Arabidopsis thaliana: one gene and its partners. The protein of the gene in region 2 interacts with the protein of the main gene of each other region in a biochemical or structural test. Each region holds a gene or a part of one and is shown on either strand. Other genes may lie near its edges.

Region 1 (5,633 bases), on a different chromosome or scaffold from region 2:
CCCAAACCCTGCATCCCAGATTCCGACCCAACGGGACCACCATGTTCCATGGTAGTGTCATCCTCTTTGCTATTGGTGGCATTGGAAGAAGAAGGGCTTTTCCTGTGAGTAACAGAGCTTAACCAATTTGATAAACCCAAAAAGGGTTTGAATTCAGAGTTATCTTGAGACCTCAATGAATCAGAAGGAGATGGTTCTGCATCACTAGACTTATTGCTTCTGTTAGAGACTGAACCTTCACCATCGTCTCGTTGATTGGGCGTGATACGAAGCTTTTTGAGAAATTTCTTCATGTTCATCTTCATACTCCAAATGTTAGAGCAGCGAACATCGACCCGAAAACTCCTTCATCCCTCGAATACACAGAAAAACGAGAACTTTGTGCTAAAACCCTAATTCCTTGGTACCACGACCCGGAGATCTGGAACTCCGTCCAGATCAACGGCTCGTCAAAATCTAATAACTGCAGCAAAAGAATTCTCGAGAAAACCTTAAATCGGAATCCAAATCAAGTAGCAAGACTCTCAATGGAGATCAGATTTCGATTTCAAGAAAATACTTTTTTTTTTTATCTCCGGAGCTGATCAAAAACCCAATAAGAGAAAGTTTGGAGCTTTTTTCTCAGCAAGTAAGCGAAGCCTCTTCCTTCTCTTTGACTCTCTCCTGAATTGAGAAAGTCCACAAAGACGCCACTTTCTCTCTCTTAAAGTCCGACAAAAGAAAATCAACTAAAAAAAACTTACGTAAAACAGAGTAGAGTAGATAGATAGATACGAGTATAGTAGAGGATGAAGAGTGGATTTTTGAGCTGGAGAGAATTGAATTTTGTTTTGCTTTTTTTTGCTACTGTAATTAAAAAATTACTCTATTTTTTGTACAATCAGTCAAAGCTTAATGCAAATATAGAGCTATTTAAAAACTTACCAATTCATTTTTAATGCAAATATATCATGCAAAACCGTACATTTTGTTAAAAAAAATAAGAAATGATAAATCGCAGAATTGTTTACGATCGTGCTTTCCATATTCAATATTCCTTCGCGTATCTGGATTTGTTTGATATCATTTATTCAAATAAAATTTTGTCTTTTTGGCTGAAAAAATGCTTCGCTCACCACCTTATGCATTATCCTCCCATGACATATCACATATATCATCAAGCGTATTATTCACTAAAAAATGCTTAGATTACGCTACTGTCGGATTCATTTATGACCCAATAACTATGATGTGCTCGAACCGCAACAGACTCCTGGACCTGCTCAGCTCATGATGAAATATATGTTCATATCATCAACGCGACCGAACGAGCAAGGCGTTTTTACTCTCTCTTTTTTTGTGTCTCAGATTCATAATTAGACTTTTAATTCCGGTTTGTAATGTAACATCTAACATCTTCTTAATTTCGAACCTTGTCCGGTTGAGTTTAATCCGTTTAGTGATTGAACGAAAATACATTTATTGTATGGGCCGCTTTGTAGGCCCATATACTCAATAAATGCATATGCCCGAATCAGGTTATCATTAACCGGTATAGACAAACCGGGTCGTCGAAATATTCCAAAGGTTTAAATATTTTGTTCTTCTCCCTCCACTCACTCTCTCTAATAATCAAGCAGGGGAAAAAAATAAATATCTGAGCATAAATAATGAAAAAAACATAAAAAGAAAATTAAAAAAAAAATGAAAAAATAGGAGAAGAACATGGTCTCCAACTCCGAAGGACAAAACCGAGAGACGCGGCGAGAAAGACGGTGACTTGACGGTAATTGTTTGGCTCTCAAGGAATTTCGGATACCCAATTTTGTAAATTACTAATCTTTTTCTTTTCTAATCTAGTAGTGGTCTATGGGTGGTGGTGGGAATCTCGTCGACGGTGTTCGTCGATGGCTTTTTCAGCGACCTTCTTCTTCTTCTTCTTCTTCTTCTTCCAACAATAATAATAATAATCACGAACAACCCATTTTCAATTCTTCTTCTTTCTCTTCTTCCTCTAACCCCAATCATTCCGCTAACTCTGGAGAGCTTATTATTGAAGAAGATCTCGATTTCTCTGGTCTAACGCTTATTAACGTTCCTAAACGTAATCATTTACCTATGGATCCTCACAAGAAGGTACCTTTCTTCTTCTCCTTCTCTACCCTTTTATGCTATTTGCTCTTAGATGTTGTCTTTTGATTGAGATTGAAGAGACTTGTTTTGTTCTCTTAATGTTCTGTGTTATTGCATTTGCTTCCACAAAAGGATAAAGTTTCAGTTTTGTGTTTCGTTTGATTGATCTTATTGTCTTGATCCATCATTTTGGTCAATTTTAAGTATGAATCATGAATAAAATTCTTCAGGGTGAAACTGAATTCTTCACGGAGTATGGAGAAGCTAACAGGTATCAGATTCAAGAGGTTGTTGGCAAAGGAAGTTATGGTGTTGTGGCTTCTGCTGTTGACTCACACACTGGAGAGAGAGTTGCGATCAAGAAGATCAACGATGTGTTTGAGCATGTCTCCGATGCTACTAGGATTCTCAGAGAGATCAAATTGCTTCGGTTGCTTCGTCATCCTGATGTTGTGGAGATTAAACACATCATGTTACCTCCTTCTCGCAGAGAATTCCGCGATATTTATGTTGTCTTTGAGTTGATGGAATCTGATCTTCATCAAGTGATCAAGGCGAATGATGATTTGACTCCTGAGCATTATCAGTTTTTCTTGTACCAGCTTCTTCGTGGTCTGAAATATGTTCACGCAGGTTAGTTTCTGGTTTTACACATTGGTCTCTTTCGATCCTCATGATTTTTGTTATAGATAATATTGAAACACTTAAGGGTTCTCTGTTTTCAGCTAATGTGTTTCATCGGGATTTGAAACCGAAGAACATTCTAGCTAATGCTGATTGCAAATTGAAGATCTGTGATTTTGGGCTGGCTCGCGTTTCTTTTAACGATGCCCCAACCGCTATATTTTGGACTGTGAGTCATCTAACTCAATGTGAAAGCAAAACTGTTCATTAGGCTTCCTCTTAACTATTTTCAAATGCTTGTGAGCTCATTTCGTTTATATGGATTTTGTAGGATTATGTAGCTACTCGGTGGTATCGTGCCCCTGAACTCTGTGGATCGTTTTTCTCCAAAGTAAGATTCTTTTTCACCAAACCCAACTACTCTTGCTATTTCTCCCTACCAGGAAAATGCTTCTAGTTTTCTATTTTGTAGAATATTGTTGTGTGGTTCTATAGTGTTGTTGAGAAGACCAGCCATCTCAAGCTAAGTCTACTCTTGTTATATTTCAGTATACCCCTGCGATTGATATCTGGAGTGTCGGTTGCATTTTTGCGGAAATGCTTTTGGGTAAGCCTTTGTTTCCCGGGAAAAACGTTGTGCACCAATTGGATCTAATGACTGACTTTCTTGGTACTCCACCTCCTGAGTCAATATCAAGGGTTAGTCACTCAAAACACTTGTTCATATTTTCTGTAGCAAATTTAATGTTCCATACATCATTGAGAGTAATTTAATCCTTGTAATGAGCTTTGCAATCTTGGACTTCTACAGATTAGAAATGAAAAGGCGAGGAGATATCTTAGCAGCATGAGGAAAAAACAACCAGTCCCTTTCTCTCATAAATTCCCTAAAGCTGATCCTTTGGCTCTCCGCCTTCTGGAACGCCTGCTTGCCTTTGATCCGAAAGATCGTGCATCAGCTGAAGATGTAAGTGAGAAGTAAATTTGCTTTACTTTTCCCTTTTGTTTTATACAGAACGAAACTCTTATATTCGTCGTTTTTGATTTTCATATTACAGGCACTAGCTGATCCATATTTCAGTGGTTTGTCAAATTCAGAGCGTGAACCAACAACACAGCCAATTTCAAAGCTTGAATTTGACTTTGAGAGAAAGAAGTTAGTTAAAGATGATGTCAGAGAATTAATTTACCGAGAGGTAACAAACAAACACAAAAGCCTTCTACATATATCCTTTTCTTTAATCTGAATTTGTTTCAATGTTATTCATTGATCCTAACAATCACTTTTCTTTGGATTTTGTAAATATCAGATATTGGAATATCATCCTCAGATGTTGGAGGAATACCTTCGTGGTGGTGATCAGCTTAGCTTTATGTACCCAAGGTTAGCTAATTAACAGTTAACAGAAACTATAAGTCTTGAAAACAGAAAGTTATGAACTCGATAAATCTTTTTGTTGTTTACGCGCAGTGGGGTAGACCGATTTAAAAGGCAATTTGCTCATCTTGAAGAAAATCAAGGTAAACCAGGAGCAGCAGGAGGAGGAAGAAGTACTGCACTTCACAGACATCATGCTTCCTTGCCAAGGTAATGTCTTTCACAGAATCTCTCTATCTCTTCTCTTCTCTTCTCAATCTCCCTCTGAGAGCATTGTGCTTCTCTATGATGATGTTGCAGAGAGAGAGTTCCTGCTCCAAATGGTGAAACTGCAGAAGAAAGCAGTGATGTTGAGAGAAGAGCAGCAGCTGCTGTGGCTTCAACCTTGGAATCCGAGGAAGCAGACAATGGAGGAGGTTACAGTGCTCGTAACCTCATGAAGAGTGCAAGCATCAGCGGTTCTAAATGCATTGGTGTCCAATCTAAAACTGACAAAGAGGTTAGTTAGTAAAGAAAGAAAGAAAGAAAAACAGAAGATCTTGAAAAGGAACATGACGATGAAGTTTGCTTACTGTTGTTCTTTTCTCTTTGTTTGCAGGATACCATAGCTGAGGAAGAAGATAATGAAACAGTTGCAGAGCTTACTGATAAAGTTGCTTCTCTTCACAATTCTTAAAAATGATTTAGTTATTTTTTTTCTTTTCTTTTCTTTTTTCACGAAAGTTTTCTGGTGAAAAGAAATTGGTTTCTCCATTCATCCACATCTATCTTCGTGGTTGGGTTTGATTTGTTGTATTTAATAGTTTTGGGGGTTTGATGAAACTTTAAATAAAAACATCGATCTCCATGTAATTTTTTTGTTTCTCTCTTTTCTTTAAACACTCATATTTTGAAATTATTTATATACTATTCAGTATTCACTTTGCTTCAGTACTTTGGGAGAGTTTGTGTGATTGGTATGATCCGGTCCAGGTCAAACCGGGATATTGGGTCTTATATAATAAATTATATTAACCTGAAGAACATACTCGACTTCTTAAAAGTAAAAAAGATAAGACTAAAAAATTAGCACACATAATAATAATGCTGTGTTAGTTGGCTTTTTAATGACGAAGACTAACCTAATATCTATTATTTATATTCCATGGTCCATCTGAATTGATACCATTCTTGGACTAATCTCATAACGACAAAATAAAATAAATAAAACGACAAAAAGAAGAAGAAAAAAAATGAACAAAATCGGGTTTTTGAAAAAGAGGTCAGAAATAATGGTATGGTCGAGTAAAGTGAGCTCCAGGGAGCTTACTCACCAACTCCAAACTACAGTCTCGATAAGAAAAAGAAACTGCAAAAAGTTGATGTATATATGGCGAACAAAGTCCACAGACGCCAGATTGGTTAAAGCAATTAGGCTACACTGTTTTTACATTATTTAGTAGAAATACTAATTGAATTTGTGCATGTTTAAAAGTGAAAAAAAACTAACATTATACTAATGGATCATGCCGCCAAACTT
Region 2 (4,528 bases):
TGCAGAAGAGTGGGATTAGCTCTTGGTCTCATGTAAACTGTAAAGAGGACAGTGAAAAGTTGAGGCATGAAGAAGCCTTACTCCGGTCTCTTCTTTCACCTCTCTGACTGAGCCATCATGAATGTCTTCACCCTGACTCAACACAAACACAAAAAGGCGAATCAGAGAGCTGAACCTAACCATGTAATGAGCTTTAATAAGAACCAGCACCTCATTCACAACTCCGGTGGGGAACTTCCAGATACCTTGACCTTGAAATCTCCCTGTCTTCTCTTGAACCACCAGCACCTTTGGATTCAAATACAGAAAAGAAAAGAGATGTGATCCATTCTTGGAGATGTTCCAAAAAGACACACTAAAAATCTCATCTCATCAGTAATCAAACCTCTTTGTTGTGGTTAATGACAAAGGCACCTATGCCAACACGGTGAGATGCATTGGCAGGAAGCGTATCGTCTTCTTTGGGAATCCAATAGACAAGCATCAAGTAGTCTTTCTCCGCGTGGTGAAACCAGAATCCCTCCTACACATAATACACAACCAGTAAGTGATATGAAGACTCTCCAAACAATAAGCAAAAGGGGGTTTAAAGATATCTGATTGCGCATTAGGTAACAAAACAAGACCTTAACAGCAGTTTCAGCAAGACCAATAAGCTGCTTTGGCAACTTGATCCACACTCCCTTTTTGCCCTGCGTACATAAAAACGTTTGTAAACATTTCACAGTAGATCGGTTCATAGTCCTATTCACCGTCTATTACTGTAGTGGAAAAGTTGAATTTAATTTTTTTTGCAGCAAAGTGAAAGAGAGTTTCTGGCCCGCATTAGAATACAACAATTTTCAAGCGGAATAGTGACACTAACACTTTTAACACCCAAACTTTTACAATGATTCTTCTATGTAACAACAAATCGGTACCAGTATCTTGATTCGGATAACAAAATTTGTCATTTTGATCGAATCCAATAAGATCAAATTTAACAAGAGGAAGAAGGAAGAGAGAACCTGAAGAGTCCAGGTAGATAGAGAGGATCGGAGAAGTGTGGAGAAGAGAGAAGGATCCATGGGATGAGTCATCTCGGTCATCACGCCACCGTACTTGTCTTGAACAGACGGAAGCAGTGTTGTTGCGTCCTCACGGGACATGGGATTTGTGGAGGAACTAGAAGCAGACATGGATCTGTTCCTCGTGGTGGAGCAACTGTGAAACGCAGAGAACCCATCAGCCGGAGGAAAACGAAGACGACGGCCATTATTCTTATTACACAACAACAATTTGATTAAACCATAACTTTTGGCCAAACGGCAAGTCATCATTACGAGAGAAGAAAAAACAAAACTCTCAACTCAATTTACACTAAAGATTTGTCCTAAATAAGTAACAGACAAAACAAATTCTATATAAATCTGAAAGTTTTTAAATTGCTAAATAGATTGATCACTCGTTTGAAGGATTTGAGCATACAAAACCTGTTTTTTCACTTTGCGGTTCCCTTTCTACAACGTATGATGAGTGAAATAATAATAAAACAAGGAAGTAATCTATTTTTCTTCTAAAATATGTCAATAAAGGCCAAAGAAAATATTCTGTTACTGTATATTTCTATCACAAGAACATAAAAACTTCAATATTTTCTGTTTAAGAAGGTTAAGGTCAAAGGTTAATACGTACGTGGAATAGTTTCTCTGGATTGTTTGTGTTGTGACACCTACGCTTGATAGAGAAATTACCAATGATTTTCTTCTAATTTTTCTCAGATTCCCAATCTTAATATGGATTATGGATTATGATATAAAATATGTCGGTATCTCCGCGGCTTTCGCTGAGCCACACGGGGCTAAAGTGTTTTTTGCCTTTACACAAAACTGGTGTAGATACAAATTACAGAACATATTCAGCTCAGGTGGGCTCGGGTCGGGTCATATAACGACGGGTAAGAAAACGACTGAAGTGAAGTGAGGATAAAATGGAGGTTATGTTACTCCTTTGAGGGTATAAAGGTAAATATAGAGTTTTTTACCCTTTGAATTGCTTTTACTTTGGGCAGTCTCTTCTGGATTTCACGCCGCCCATTTTATTTTTTTTACCTTTTCCCGAAATGGAACTTCTCGCCGGCGACTGTCGGAAACGAGTCGGCGACGACTTTGAGGAAGATATTAACCCATTCGATGGTTCGGACGGTGGTTGCGGGTGGATGTACGGTACCCGTCAAATGGGTTCTAACGGAAACGACGACGCTTTGGCTACGCTCGCAGACTTGGCTTCGCCTCCTCAGAAATTGAAACCTATAAGGTGTGGCGTTAAGCTTCCGTCGTCGTCGGAGGATCGACATCCTCTTGATATTCTCGCCGGAACCCTAGATAGGCTGCCGGAGATGGGTTTTGGCTGCTTCGAAGCTCCTTTGGGATCGAAGATTGCTGACGTGGAGGAAAGTGGTCAATTGACTCGTGGGTTTTCAAAGGAAGAGGATGATTCTCTTCCTCCTCTTCAAATGGAGTTTCAAGCTCGAAATCGCATCTCTTGGGATGGTCTCTCTCTCAGGTATAAATCTCACCATTAAAAATGTGAGCTTTTTGTTCAACTTTGGATCTGTTACTGTGAAAAGTTGTTACTTTTTTTCTGTATTATTAAGAGTCTAATTTTTTTTCACGTTTATTAGAAGCTTGTTTGGTAGAGACCTCCTAAACACATTCTCTTCCTCTTGATATATTTGAGCTTTGCGGTATCATTTGATTCTAGATTGGTTGACTGGTGCATCACTGAACACTCTCAGCTTAAAGCATTAAACTTTGCAGATATCAATCAGATTGGTGTGCCGTCATTACAAGCTTTTACAGTGTTGGTTTATACCACTTCTAAGCAGTGTTTGTCTATATATTCTGCGGAACTTTTGGATTATTAGTTCTTAGATAGTGTAACCATGTTGGAAGCTTTGAGTTTTTGATAAGTACTTTCCAATTTTTGATTTTGCAGCTCCTCTGTTGATAGCAGCGATAGTGACTCATCTCCAGACGTTCGCAAGACCGTCACGGGTAAAAGAAAGCGGGAAACAAGGGTAAAGCTGGAGCATTTCTTGGAGAAGCTTGTGGGGAGTATGATGAAGCGGCAGGAGAAGATGCATAATCAGTTGATTAATGTGATGGAGAAGATGGAAGTGGAGAGAATACGCCGTGAGGAAGCTTGGAGGCAACAGGAAACCGAGAGGATGACACAGAATGAAGAAGCACGGAAGCAAGAGATGGCACGCAACTTGTCTCTCATCTCTTTCATCAGAAGTGTTACTGGTGACGAGATCGAGATCCCTAAACAGTGTGAATTCCCGCAACCACTCCAGCAGATTCTTCCGGAACAATGTAAAGACGAGAAATGTGAATCCGCTCAGAGAGAAAGAGAGATAAAGTTTAGGTACTCAAGCGGCAGTGGCAGCAGTGGTAGAAGGTGGCCGCAAGAGGAAGTGCAGGCATTGATAAGTTCGAGAAGCGATGTGGAAGAGAAGACGGGGATCAACAAGGGAGCGATTTGGGATGAGATATCAGCAAGAATGAAAGAAAGAGGGTACGAAAGATCTGCGAAAAAGTGTAAGGAGAAGTGGGAGAACATGAACAAGTACTATAGGAGAGTGACGGAAGGTGGGCAGAAACAGCCTGAGCACAGCAAGACTCGCTCATACTTTGAGAAACTTGGAAATTTTTACAAGACCATTTCCTCGGGAGAGAGGGAAAAATGAGTGAAAGATTTTAAATTTAGGTGTTTTTGGCACGCAAAACGGGAGAACTTGTAGATGATTACCTCGAGTTTAATTTTTATATCTTTGGTGTAGTTTATAATTTAAAACTCTACGGCTCTGTATTTGTAGAAGGTTCGAATAAAAAAGACAAATACGTTGGGGTGATTGGGATTTTGTAACGGCTAAGGGAGACGAGGAGAAGGATCCTCGGTCACATCGATTATGGCTGCCACGTTGTTGAACTTGTGAGGTCTGAAATTACAAATGCTGACACTTGCCAACACTATTAGCTTTATTCCAATTACTCTTTCTTCTCTCTCATTCCATTCTCTTCTTCAAATGCTTCTTAATTTCGGGCATTGGTTATTATTATTTATAGGGATATTCACAAACACAAAAGTCGTGTATTTAGAACAAGAAAGATATGGAACGTGGAGGCTTCCATGGCTACCGCAAGCTGTCCGTGAACAACACCACTCCTTCTCCACCAGGTAGTGCCATTCTCTATACCCCCTCTTTTCACAGGCTCTCTTCATTTCAGTTGCATGCGAAACCATTCTCTGCAATCCCTCCATTGTCATGTCTGTACTCTTTTCATGACGAACAGTTAATGAAATAGCTTTTCAATCTTATAAACCGCGCATGCAGACGTCATCGAAGCCATTATGCACTAAAACTTCCATTTTTCTTATTTTTGTTAGGATTAGCAGCGAATTTTCTGATGGCAGAGGGCAGTATGCGTCCTCCAGAATTCAACCAGCCTAACAAAACCAGTAATGGTGGTGAGGAGGAGTGCAC
Region 3 (5,704 bases), about 13 Mb from region 2:
GTTTTGACGCATACTTTGATTACCTTGCCAAGAAGGATCCAGAGTTTGCTGCCTTGTTTCGAGTCAGATCCTCTTCAAGAACTGAACCAGTCAGCTCCAATCCACCTGATGCGCCTAATGCCACAACTGCTGGGATCGGACCTGAAGCTGTCGAACCTGAGGCTGTTGTAGCTAACCCAAACACTGGGTCATCTCCATCTGAGGCTTTCTAACATTCTGTATTAAGTTTCTTTTTCACTCATCAAAACTTGAATCTTTTGTTGGTTTGTTATGTAAAATTATTTGGCCTTCTAACATTCTGTATTCAGTTTCTTTTTCTGTACTTGAAACCTAAAATTTCAGCTTTTAAATATGAGTTTAAGGTTTCTTAATTAGTATTCAACTTCAAAGTTTAGTATAAAAATCCAATTAAGATAACCATTAAATATTGTTAAGTAGAACAGTAATCCCTATATTCAACAGTAATCATGCTTAAAACAAAACAGAAAAGAGTCGCTTATTTACCGCGAATCCATCGCAAACTTTACTACGGATTTGCGACTACAGATAAAAGCCACGCAAATCCATCGCAAATTTTGCGAGGCATTAGCGGGACAAAGAATTTGCGACTACTTTGCTACTGAAGTATTCCCTCGCAACTTGCGAGGAAAGAGCGAGGCTACTGTTGCAGCTAATATGCTACCGAGTACGTCCCTCGCAAATTGCGTGTGCTTCGCGAGTCTGGTCGTCCGTCGCAACTAGCGAGAAACTTGCGAGACCCGAAATTTGCTGTGAATTTGCTACGGATTGCTTCCCTTGCAAATTGCGTGTGTTTTGCGAGGCAACTTGTTCCTCGCAACATTTGCGAGGAACTTGCTACGAATTTGATTTTACGACGCGCGTTTTGCGAGGAACTGGAGTTCGTCGCAATTCCCTCGCTAAATGCTTTTTGCGAGAGACTAGCGACGGTTTCTTCCCTCGCAACTGGCGTGTTTTCTTGTAGTGACATCTACTTGAAGATTTAAAGCTTCGCTTTATTTATACGTTTGAAATCGATGCAAATGCAATTTTTCCAACCATGCAAAAGTTTACGCATGCAAGCACCTACAGTTATGAAGCAATTTCAAAGAACCCACCAAAGACAGAAGATATTAGATACGAAATACATATTTCAAATAAAATACTAGATTGACGATTGCATATATAAGTTTTTGTAAGTTTCTTGTACCATTGTACATAACTCATAAATATTGTCTCTAGATAATTAAGTATGTCTTATCGGTCAAATTCTATATCTTAAAAATAAGTAAGATTACTCATTAACTGCATACGAAAAAAAATTTAAACCACTCATTTCAATCGGATTCGAAATATAGGATAATCCACTTCATTTATATGTCTTTAACAACGACTATGACACGAAAGAAAATTATAAAGTAAACGAACTATTTATTATTGTAATAATTATAAGTCATCACTAATCCATAATAAATCGGATATCTATTCATTAAGAAGAGCATATATTAAAATAGTTTATACAAAAATATCCACACTGTATTATATTCGACGTTTGGACATTATCCAAAAGCTAGATTTAAGACAAAAGTCGCAAGTACCCATAAACCTTGGGGGGCAAATTGGAGTTTTCGTACAACGATAATCAGACTCCACTTATCCGCTTTTTTCAATTATCACAATAAAAGAAACGAATAATAATAATATTTTAATAATTTGTTCTGTTCTGTTCTTCATCTCATAGATCTCTCCTCTCTACACTTTCTTCTACAAAAGTGAGCAAATAAACTTGCCTCTTCGTCTGCTTCGTGAGATTTCAGATCCTGTAAAGAAATTTTATTAGCTCAAAAGAATCATTTTTGGGTTTCTGAACCATAAAAGCTTCTCTCGACTTTCAAAAACTCTCTCCTTTTTCCTTTTAGCCATTTCAAGCAGAGAGATTGATCGAAGAAGATAAAAACCTCGTCTTTCTTCAATCTCAGTGATTCTCAAATTACCCATCGCTTCCTTCTTTTGATCTCTTTGATTTCACTTCAAAAAGCAAAGAAATCTCGATTAGGTTATTCCTTGTTTCACCCCATAAATTTGCCTCCTTTTTTTTGGTCTCGGGAACTACTCTGATTTGTTTCAATCGATTCTGGATTTCGGGATTTGGATATAGAGCTCTCTGTTTTTGACATTGCCTTTGGAACTAAAATTCTCAGTCTTTGCATTTTTTTGATTCAAAAGCTCACTAAGTTTGGGTTTCAGAAGCTATTACATTTGGTCTTCGTAAGCGTCCTTTGAATGCCCTGTAGCTGAAGATGCAGCCTGATCACCGCAAAAAGGTCCAATTTTTCAATCTCTTATGTATCAGATTTGCTTATTAGAACTGATTAGGATCTGTAGCAATCCTTTTTACTGTTACTGCCTTTTAGTTTAGTCCTAATCTTTCTCTGTATTGAAGCTTTTGATATTGACAATAGATTTTTCTGTATATTCAGTCATCAGTTGAGGTAGATTTCTTCACGGAATATGGTGAAGGAAGCAGATACAGAATAGAGGAAGTGATTGGTAAAGGAAGTTATGGAGTTGTCTGTTCTGCTTACGATACACATACCGGAGAGAAAGTTGCGATTAAGAAAATCAATGATATCTTTGAGCATGTTTCGGATGCAACTCGCATTCTTCGTGAGATCAAACTTCTTAGACTCTTACGCCATCCTGACATTGTTGAGATCAAACACATCTTGTTGCCGCCTTCAAGAAGAGAGTTTCGAGACATTTACGTGGTTTTCGAGCTTATGGAATCTGATTTGCATCAGGTTATTAAGGCAAATGATGATTTGACTCCTGAGCATTATCAGTTTTTCCTCTATCAGCTTCTTCGTGGCCTCAAGTATATACACACAGGTTAAGCTAGCGAGCAATAAAATTTCATTGATTAGTATAAGTTTATGATTATCTTTCTGAAAATACTTTTTTTTTCTCTTCCTTTCAGCTAATGTCTTTCATCGGGATCTTAAACCCAAAAACATATTGGCAAATGCTGATTGCAAACTCAAGATCTGTGATTTTGGACTTGCAAGAGTCGCATTCAATGATACACCGACTGCGATATTCTGGACTGTGAGTAGTAGTAATTTAAATGCTTACTCTTTACAAGTTTACTCTTTTTGGTATGAAACCAATTTTTTATTCCTACTGCTTTCTGATCGCAGGATTATGTAGCTACTCGATGGTACAGGGCTCCAGAACTATGTGGATCTTTTTTCTCAAAGGTGACCATGATTTTGTATATATACTTTCATCGAATGTTTCAAATTTTCATAGGGAATCTAGTCAGTAGACACTATAGCTCTCTCATTCAGATTATAAAATTTTATGGTAACATTTTTTTTCTTTATCTATGCTTCTGTTCAGTATACACCGGCAATAGATATATGGAGCATCGGGTGCATTTTTGCAGAACTCTTAACAGGGAAACCTCTTTTCCCCGGGAAAAATGTGGTCCATCAATTGGATCTGATGACGGATATGCTGGGAACTCCATCTGCTGAAGCCATTGGAAGGGTATGTGTTCCTTTCCACAATGCTTAAGCATTGTTTCTTTTTTTGGCTGAATTTCTTACACTGAAACAGGTTAGGAACGAGAAAGCTCGAAGATACTTGAGCAGCATGAGGAAGAAGAAGCCTATTCCTTTTTCACATAAGTTCCCACATACTGATCCTCTTGCTCTTCGTCTTCTAGAAAAGATGTTGTCTTTTGAACCCAAGGACCGGCCTACAGCTGAAGAGGTGGTTCATACATTTCGTTCTTTACACTCCTTATGATGTAACTTTGGTTATAGCTAACTAAATGGTTTTATGTGTTACCTCAGGCGCTTGCAGATGTGTACTTCAAGGGTTTAGCTAAGGTTGAAAGAGAGCCTTCTGCTCAACCTGTCACAAAGTTGGAATTTGAGTTTGAAAGGCGGAGGATCACAAAAGAAGACGTCCGAGAGCTCATATACAGAGAGTCTCTGGAGTACCACCCAAAGATGCTGAAAGAATACTTGGATGGATCAGAGCCAACTAACTTTATGTACCCGAGGTACCGGCCTGAGCTGACCTGCTTCATACTATACTCCTGTGTATTATCCATGTTCTTATGGTTAATGTATTATTCATTCTGCAGTGCGGTGGAACATTTCAAGAAACAATTTGCTTACCTCGAGGAACACTACAAGAATGGTACTTCTCATAATCCCCCTGAGAGGCAACAGCATGCATCATTACCAAGGTATGCTTTACGTCCTTTAAAAATTTGATCATTTGGGATTCTTTCGAAACAGCTCAACAAAGCCTCTTTTTATGTTTTGCAGGGCTTGCGTATTGTACTCTGATAACAATCATCCGGTGGCACAACAGAGTTCAGCTGAAGTCACTGATGGACTCTCCAAGTGTAGCATTAGAGACGAGAGACCTCGGGGTGCAGACAGGAATGCCCAGATGCCAATGTCGAGAATTCCTATCAACGTCCCTCAAACAATCCAAGGTCTCTCACCCTCTCTGTATATAATGTTATGATGCAGAATAACTCTGTCTCCTGAACATTTATCTGGTTGTAATGAAGCAGGTGCTGCAGTAGCTAGGCCTGGTAAAGTAGTTGGATCAGTGTTACGCTATAACAACTGCGGCGCAGCCACAGGCGTTGAAGCTCTTGAACAACAACAGAGAAGGATGGTCAGAAATCCAGCTGCTGCGTCTCAATACCCAAAGAGGACTCAACCTTGCAAAAGCAACAGAGGAGATGAAGATTGCGCCACCGCTGCTGAAGGTCCAAGTAGATTGAAGCCAAACACTCAGTATATACCACAAAAAGTGTCTGCAGCACAAGATACTGCAATGAGTCGCTGGTATTAAACATGATGTTATGGTTCTAGTTTTAGCTTTACCACCTCACGTCTCAGGGAGAGCTAAAAAGAGTATCCCTTTGAGTCATCCATTGTGTTATCAAGAGCCGAAACGTGAAGACATGCTTAAGAGCGAAATGAGAGAAGGAAGCGTGAGAAGATAAAAGAAGTTCTTACAGATCCTGTCATGTAATTTGTCTTCATAGTTTTGTATTCTTAAAACAACCTTTGTTTATCTACGTTGTAACACTTACACTGTCTACGATTCTTATATCCCATGAACTCAATCTGTTTCACCTAATAATCTGATATGCACCAACAATAAACCCCAAATTTCATTGGATCTTTGATTTATGAGAAAACGCGTTGAAAACGATTCATTGTACTTGCTAGATCCGATTAGATCAGCCATTATCCATAACAGAGATTATACAATGCACAAATCTTTCTTCTTTCTCTCCCATTCAGTGCAACCGGGGCTTCACTCGTCTTCCACTCGCGTCACAACCATCGGCAAATATTTCTTTTCGATGTCCAGATACTATAACAGAGTGTTCACTTAGCCTCGCCACATACTGCAATAGCTCCGTTAGTAAAGATGGGCAACTCTCTTTCAGATAATCAAACCCATCTGTTTGCATCACAGCTGATCATAACAAAAGGGAAAAAACAGACACAAGTCTCATCATGTGAACAGAGTTGATTCAGATCGATTAAAAAGAAAGATCTTGTGTGTTTACCTTTCAGGTTCTCTGGCAGTGCCACGAATTTGAGACACACTGCTTTTAGCTGCAAACAATGATGCTGCTCTGCTAGGGCCAAAGTAGTTGCAACCG

The links. The genes of interacting proteins can lie anywhere in the genome.
Region 1: of the proteins of AT5G47660 (region 2) and ATMPK8, one has a biochemical effect on the other in vitro, tested with the Arabidopsis thaliana proteins (one large-scale study listed by BioGRID).
Region 3: of the proteins of AT5G47660 (region 2) and MPK16, one has a biochemical effect on the other in vitro, tested with the Arabidopsis thaliana proteins (one large-scale study listed by BioGRID).

The regions. Positions count from the first base shown.
Region 1 is NC_003070.9:6,243,798-6,249,430, reverse strand, and holds ATMPK8 (Protein kinase superfamily protein), read left to right. Parts: upstream 1-1,618; 5' UTR 1,619-1,765; exon of another isoform or gene 1,766-1,839; 5' UTR 1,840-1,848; coding exon 1,849-2,115; intron 2,116-2,342; coding exon 2,343-2,745; intron 2,746-2,837; coding exon 2,838-2,965; intron 2,966-3,067; coding exon 3,068-3,127; intron 3,128-3,285; coding exon 3,286-3,435; intron 3,436-3,547; coding exon 3,548-3,703; intron 3,704-3,794; coding exon 3,795-3,932; intron 3,933-4,046; coding exon 4,047-4,120; intron 4,121-4,207; coding exon 4,208-4,324; intron 4,325-4,414; coding exon 4,415-4,613; intron 4,614-4,712; coding exon 4,713-4,790; 3' UTR 4,791-5,133; downstream 5,134-5,633. Other genes in the region: AT1G18160 (Protein kinase superfamily protein), read right to left, coding at 1-305. UniProt on the Arabidopsis thaliana protein: MKK3-MPK8 and CAMs-MPK8 modules negatively regulates ROS accumulation through controlling expression of the RBOHD gene during wounding.
Region 2 is NC_003076.8:19,310,907-19,315,434, forward strand, and holds AT5G47660 (Homeodomain-like superfamily protein), read left to right. Parts: upstream 1-1,840; 5' UTR 1,841-2,101; coding exon 2,102-2,544; intron 2,545-2,976; coding exon 2,977-3,730; 3' UTR 3,731-3,987; downstream 3,988-4,528. Other genes in the region: NUDT2 (nudix hydrolase homolog 2), read right to left, coding at 82-132, 211-288, 386-523, 627-692, 1,008-1,319; NF-YB6 (nuclear factor Y, subunit B6), read left to right, coding at 4,155-4,221, 4,432-4,528.
Region 3 is NC_003076.8:6,344,270-6,349,973, reverse strand, and holds MPK16 (mitogen-activated protein kinase 16), read left to right. Parts: upstream 1-1,706; 5' UTR 1,707-2,297; coding exon 2,298-2,321; intron 2,322-2,477; coding exon 2,478-2,886; intron 2,887-2,974; coding exon 2,975-3,102; intron 3,103-3,194; coding exon 3,195-3,254; intron 3,255-3,396; coding exon 3,397-3,546; intron 3,547-3,615; coding exon 3,616-3,771; intron 3,772-3,854; coding exon 3,855-4,066; intron 4,067-4,150; coding exon 4,151-4,255; intron 4,256-4,337; coding exon 4,338-4,510; intron 4,511-4,591; coding exon 4,592-4,878; 3' UTR 4,879-5,204; downstream 5,205-5,704. Other genes in the region: BPM1 (BTB-POZ and MATH domain 1), read right to left, coding at 5,333-5,514, 5,609-5,704.